2 linked regions of the Cricetulus griseus genome follow. The protein of the gene in region 1 interacts with the protein of each later gene in a biochemical or structural test. Links are inferred from orthologs where the notes say so. Each region holds a gene or a part of one and is shown on either strand. Other genes may lie near its edges.

Region 1 (3,654 bases):
TATCATGTACACATTATATAGAAGCTCCATATTATAAGGATGGTATGAAAAATCATTGATGTACTTCTGGGAAATCAATGTATTTAATGCCCTGTCACAATCTTTTACAGCATGGACAATGGGGCACCTTAGGGCACATAAGCAGCTTTAGTATCAATCACTACAGATAGTCATGAAACTGAGGAGGCTCCCTGACTATGACAAAACAGGTTTCCATCCTTAAATGAAGCACCTCGTTGTGCTCCTAGATGGTCAACCTGTAATTCTTCAATTTAGTTGAATTACTTAAAAGAATACCAACTGCATATTCAGTGAGCCTATCTTTAAGGGGCTTACACTCCAACGAAGGAGGAAATGACAATATACACCCAGAGTAGCACAGAGCAGGCTATCTGAAACACCTTAGGCATAGGACAGACCAAGAGTCACTGCCATTCAGAAGAACTGCCTTGATGATGGGAGATCTTGAACTTTAAAGGAAATTTTTGGCAAGCCTCTGAAGCTTTTCTTTATAACCTCAGAGAACTTTCAAGTTAGCCAGAAGAAACTGAGATCCATGTTCATGGAGGTTTATATATTGGGTAACTCCTTCTGTCTATTCTTCATCACACCTCTGCAATTTCATCTGACACCAATTCTCATCACTTGGGTAAAGTTCTATTCTGAAGATATTTTTTCCCATTATTGAACCAAAAGGACTGACTATTTGGAGGCAGAACATTTTCTGCAGTGTAGAAGCATTTGTGGTCAACTCCAAGGGGTTCACCTGGGCTGCTTCTACAACTATACACAAATCAGTTCTCTTAGAACTGGGGGAGATACCATGGGTAGGCGTACCTGTAAGAAAAATAAGTGTTGCGTGATCTCTTGAACTAGCTCCTCCTCAGCATTTTCAGGATAAAATTTGGCCAGGAAGTGAAATGTAACTGGTTCTTCCTTTGAAACATCATGATCCAACACCTGCAGAATTTCAGAGCAAAAGACATGCTGTGCTGGCTTCTCTTCTTTATGTACTACCATCAGAGCATGCTTTGCAGGGAAGGTATAAAATCCATCCCACTTCCCAAAGGCTGTGTTTCTACAGTTGGAAGCATTCACAGAGCCATACATAGCAGGAGATAACATCCACTTCACTCAGGGAATTCTGAATCAAACCAATCAATAAACCCATGGGGTGACCAGAGCTAACAGTGACCAGAACCAGTGTTCTCAAAGTCACAGAGAATAGTTACAAACTAGAATGCATAACTCAAAGGTCTTGGGCATTATCCTTTATGGAAGACTGAGGATTTACAAAGTTTTATTTTTTCCTGAAATAGTAACATCTTACTTTATTCTTTGCTACTGCCCACTCTAATTAGGTTCTGTTGGAATATAACTTAAATACAATAAACTAGATTTTTGTGTTGTCACTGTGTTATGAATACTAGAAGTGAAACATGGCCATCATGGCAATGCTTTGTTCCTGGAATCTTTCAGAGATGGCCACAAAATGCTTGCAGTGCAGTAAGAAAACCACTGCCTTTAATCTTGTAACAATCCCACCAACCCCCTGAAAAGCTTGGACCATCTGCTCTCCAGAGTGAATTTCATTTCAGGACATAAACATACTACCAGGCTCCATTAACATGTGTCATAATTTATTTCCTTTGAGCAGCAGGTTCTATGACTCCCGATGCCCCCAATCTAATATCCATTTGGCTAACATTCAGGTATGATTTAAAATTCACTTTGCTGAGAATCATAAAAAGACACAGAAAGCTTAGCTGTCTCTGATATGTAATTCTCCATATGCATGCCCAAATTCCAGTGGCAGTCCCCAAGGAACTCAAATTAAGTCTAATCCTAGTTGCCTCTTCAGCACTGTATCTTTGTGGCATTTGGCGTTTCTAGTCATTGGGAATGACCATTGAAACTGACAACCAACAGAAGTTTTAAGCATGAAGGAGATAACCATATACATGTTGTGAACATAATGCGAACATCTCACTTAACACTAGTAAGATGACACTTTTTTAGTTACCATTTTATGTGTTAGATAACTTCAGGGGCAATTGACAGGGGCACCATTTAGGATCAGAATTAGACATGGAGTTACTTTGGGAATCCAGGGTCTTTTGGCCCCGTTCTCCAGCTGTTTTCACTGTTAGGTGGCCAGGAAAATAGATAGACATGTCTTTGTGTGAATATATGAACCCATAAATGGCAGCTTCCCTAAGCCATAGCCATTTCCAAGCCACCTTCAAATTTCTAGAAACCTAGATTTGATGTGCTTAAGAAATCCCAAAGAGGCTGGGCGTTGCGGTGCACGCCTTTAATCCCAGCACTCGGGAGGCAGAGGCAGGCGGATCTCTGTGAGTTCGAACCAGCCTGGTCTACAAGAGCTAGTTCCAGGACAGCCTCCAAAGCCACAGAGAAACCCTGTCTCGAAAAACCAAAAAAAAAAAAAAAAAAAAAAAAAAAGAAATCCCAGAGAATCCTGAGGAGGAAACGGGATTGCTCCTTCATCTCAGGCTCTTTATTCCTTCGGTCTCATTAATGATTAAGTCAGTTGGGTCTTGGTGTTCTCAAATACTTATTAAAAAATAAATAAATGAACATGAGCCCTAGGAGAATCTCTCAAAGACATAAATTGTGTTTTTTTTAAGTATACAAAGATAATTGTAATATTATCCATAAAACCTGACTGGTGGTTCAATAAACTGAAGGGCATAATGCCAAAAAGCAAACAGGGCAGTGACAATGGGCAGAAAAGCTAGTCAAGGTTTAGTCCTGGTGAACCCTGCTTGTCTGGAGAGTCTGTGCAAAGCAGAAATGCCTGTAGGATTTGCCTCCTACATACATGACCTAATCTATATAAAAAAAATTGATCCCTTCTTTACCCTTGTGATACCCCAACAAAGAGCAAATAAGCTAAGCGCAAGCTCAGGGAAAAACAAAACAAAAAAAAACAGGAAGCATAAGCCTCCCCCAGGGTTTCATGGAGATCTAGTCCAACCTTCTTGTCCATTTTGAGCCAGGCCACAGTGTCCTTGATTGTGTACTGAAGTCCAAAGAACCAGGTTTCCCGAAGCCCCAGTGTTCGGCACACCAAATCAAACAGGTCCTTCCCTTTCCATTTCATCTGCAATATAACAAACCAACAGGGAAGGACATTGTGAGCAAAATCATAATCAGCTCACACACAGAACTGTTCTCAGTGCTCTCTACTGTCACCAAAATGGCTGATGAGCACTGAACTCCTAAATAATTGTAAAGCTTCCCACACAAAACCATGAGTGGGAAAATACCAATTAGAGTTTAATGGCTCAATTGCTGTGGAGCACACACAATACCTCCTTGGACAGTTCCATACAGATCTCAATATCCCCAAAGCTGCTAATTTAGGAAACCTGGTAAATAAGCAGCCTCATTTAGGAGAGTCAAGCCTCCTAAATTAGCCCAGGAAGATGGCTAGTTTGTGAGACACTAATTCCCTTGAGTTTGGTTTTTTTTTTTTGGGGGGGGGGTGGTTTTGTTTTTTAAATCATGACTCTGCCTTTTGATAAAAGGTAAGTATTCACTTTTTAACTTAAAGACTAGTTTTACTAGGAGAAAAATTAAATATATGGAAGTTGGAACTAAAATTACAAAAATTGTAGAACAGAAGAACAA
Region 2 (3,654 bases), on another chromosome or scaffold:
TCGCCGAGGTCATTACACGTGCACTGGAGCTGTACTGGTCACAGAAAACCTCTGGAGTCTGATTTCTTGTTTTCTTCCTGATTCTGGCTAATTCTGGACAGGAACCTTTGGCTTTCTTCTCCTTTTATCAGATTTGCAGAGAAGTGTCATAAAACAACACAAATCATGACTTTCAGTTAAAAAATCAGCACTAGTTTCCCACTGACTATAGTGCCTATGGGATAAAGTCCAAATGCCTGGCATTTAAAGCCATTTTATGGCCTGACTTCAGTTATCTTCGCAGCCATATCCCTCTAGCTTCCCTGTGGCTACCACACAGTGGCCAGCCAAATTAGACTCCTGGTCATTCTGGGAATGCATTTGCTTACTCAGAATAGAATACCCTTCCCCTCACCTCTGCCCATTGAAATCTAAATAAGCTTTCAGGATCTGACTTCAAATGCCATCTCTCCCTGAAATTATTTTCCTCCCCTCCCCCAACCAGGGAGAACTTCTATTTGCTCCCTGTTCCCTTACAGCTGTGTTTTGCTCTAAATTCTCTGACTTGAGTATATTGAAGGCAAGGATAACATGGGTGCTCTCATTCAGGTTTGGACACAGCACAGGTTAATCATGCCTTCTTAACTAGCTGGCTCTTGATTGAATACTTGTGAAAGTGAACTGAATTATACAGCACGAGGATGGCCATTTGGGTTTTTAGGCATTGAGTCTGCTGCTGATTTGTACTTGGGAAAGGCAATTTAACTGCTCTCTATGCTAACATGGGGCAAGATACATCACCTGGGCAGATGTCAGGACAAAATGAGAGAACCACACAGAAGTCCTTTGTGGGCTTCAAAATAAAGTTATTGCTATACAATATACAGCATTATTAATATTTCTGAAATTAGAAAATTGAGAAATGAAAATCATGTGATATCTATTTTATCTTACTGCCTTCCATGAAGGTAGAAATTACACTACACAACCAACTCCACCCCAACAAAAATACACACACACACAAACACACACACACACACACACACACACACACACACACACACACGGTTTGCTTTTGTCCTAAGGAAATCCCATGATGTAGTTGAATCATGTATTGAGCTCACAGTTGGTCTTGGAGAATCTTTCTTGAACCCAGTGCTTAACTGTGTTACACTTGCCTCCTGGATGATATATATATATATATAATATATATATATATATATATATATATATATATGCTCTGAAAAAAGATGCCACTGAAGTATTACTCTATGTATGGCTCTAAAGTGTCTTTCCCATTAAACTCCCAGAAGAAACACCATCTTTCTTTTTAATGTTAAGGTGGAGACAGAAATCCAGCGGGTCTCAGAGGCATATGAGAATTTGGTGAAGTCATCTTCCAAAAGAGAGGCTCTGGAGAAAGCCATGAGGAACAAGCTGGAGGGGGAGATTCGAAGGATGCATGACTTCAACAGAGATCTGAGAGGTAAGGGAAGAGTGGACTTGACTTTGTAGGGTTTTTTATTAAACAAACAGTTTGCTTGTTTTTTGAGACAAGGTCTCTCTACAGCGTTCAGGCTGGCCTAGGACTTATTGCATAGTCCATGCTGGCCTTGTACTCCAGAATTCCCATGTTTTACCTTCCCAAGTGTGTCCCTACATCTGGCTCTTGCTTTATTTAGTAGGTCTTGTAGTGTTTTGATATTCACTTTTGCAAACTCGGTCTGTGTCACCCATCCTGTTCATCAAAAATGGTGCTGACTTTTGCCAAAGGCCAGTATTTAGAAGACAAACAGCATGGGCTTAGAACTTTGTATGGAAGGACCTGTTCATTATCTTCCCATTCCACAGAGCGCCTAGAGACTGCCAACAAGCAGCTGGCTGAAAAGGAGTATGAAGGGTCAGAGGACACCAGGAAAACCATCTCTCAGCTCTTTGCCAAAAGTAAGTCTAGAAACTGCATACGCAGGTATGGATGTGAGGATGGGCAGTACAAGTCTGGAAATGTCACTTGTCTGGATGGAAGTAAAGTTTATGACGATGTTGCTTGCCTCTCTTTAGCGTTCTAGAACCAAATGAATGTCTTTTTTTCTGTTACTGCATGAAACACCAGGAAGGCTGCTGCCACAGACTCTAGTCACATCAAAGGACTGTTCTCTGTACTAAGTCAGCAAAGCCCATTGGGATCCCTGGATTGTCATGGCGAGCCGAAGGCACAACCTTAGGGCATATTGTCCTTAATAATAACGCTGAAGGGATTATTGTAGGTGATTCCATATACTGCCTCTGGTTGATGGGATGAACATGTGGGGCAATGATTAATGTTTGGAATCCCCAGCCTGTACCAGGGGTTCCCCTACTAAACACCTATTGCAGTATCCTATCATTTCACACTGACAGACTGTGACGATAACCAAACTGTGAGGATAACCAGAGGAGGAAGGGCCTCTGCTGTGACCTGAATTCATGGTTCGGCTTTCAGAGCATACAGGGCTGAGCAGGGCTGTGCTGTCCTCATAATAGTGTTTCCTTTGTCTGGAAATACTCCGAGGACTGTAACAATGAATTCATCCTCTTCTTTATCGGCCCCTAATGGACTCCACCCAGCTAGACAATGCCTAATTCTTTCCAATTGCTATAATAAAAGCAGCAATAAAAACTTCATAGTAGATTGAGTCCACTGGGAGAAGAAATTGGGTTGAGAACAGATGAACTGTCCTTGTTTCTCTGCAGATGCCTAAGGTCGGCTTTGCCCTACCCCAGCCTCCCTCAGTGCAGCTGCCATTGCAACCAATGCTTACTGGGGACTTGTCAGTCTCTTCCATTTTTGCTGGGCCTCCCAATGACCCTTTCATGTCATTCTGTGCCATTTCCAGTTAGCTTTTACAAGTCTGTTTGATCTTCATTTACAATATTCCCTTCCCTGCCTGGGTCGCTCCTGGCTTCCGAACAGTTTTTCTTCCTCTTTGCCCAGAGCCTGTCAGCCCTTTGTCAGTAGTCTAAGAGCCAGGAATGTTGTTTTTCTGGTGTCATCAGAACCTAGGGTAAATTGGGAAGTTGCTTTTGTGGTGTCACGGTTACCCTGGAAGCTCGTTCAGTGGCAGGAAGATGGTGGCAGCCTCCCAGAGTAAAAAAATATATGGATTCTTGCCCTGGATCTGCTAGTTTGTGCTCTCCATGAAGAAATGGTATTTTGGGTGCTCTCAGAGCTCTGCTGTGGGTCTATAAAACATAGTTCTTTACTAAAGCAAACTACATAACCAGCAGAGTGAAAGACCCTCAGAAATTCAAAAACTAGGTGGGGAAGAGAGCATGCCCTTTGTGCCCTTCATTTCTTTTGCATTTGGGCATCCTAAGGGCCCTGCAAGGTGGACTGTAGCAGGAAGAAAGAAAGCTCTCTTGAAAAGCCTTCCCTGGGGGTGTACTTCAGCAACCCCAGAGAGACAGAAGCAATTGAACCCAGAAGGCAGCTGGGTGTAGTAGAAAGGGCTTCAAATCAGTTGAGCGTTAAGTATGGAATCCACCCATCATTTTTCAGTTGGGGGAGCTCTTGCAAGTTAGTCATGCTTGCTTTCCAAATCCTGTTTTCTCATATGCAAAATAGAGACGTGAAGACTAATACCTCATATCCTTGTTCTGAGGATTAAGCTAGCACAATGCCTGATGTGTAGTGAG

What was found. The genes of interacting proteins can lie anywhere in the genome.
Region 2: the proteins of Nf2 (region 1) and Amot form a complex in vitro, tested with the Homo sapiens proteins (2 studies listed by BioGRID and IntAct). The link is inferred for Cricetulus griseus from reciprocal best matches to the Homo sapiens genes NF2 and AMOT.

Annotation. Positions count from the first base shown.
Region 1 is NW_023276807.1:100,083,669-100,087,322, reverse strand, and holds part of Nf2 (merlin), read right to left. Parts: intron 3,125-3,654; coding exon 2,999-3,124; intron 961-2,998; coding exon 838-960; intron 1-837. UniProt on the Homo sapiens protein: Probable regulator of the Hippo/SWH (Sav/Wts/Hpo) signaling pathway, a signaling pathway that plays a pivotal role in tumor suppression by restricting proliferation and promoting apoptosis.
Region 2 is NC_048604.1:35,461,064-35,464,717, forward strand, and holds part of Amot (angiomotin), read left to right. Parts: intron 1-1,320; coding exon 1,321-1,465; intron 1,466-1,830; coding exon 1,831-1,923; intron 1,924-3,654.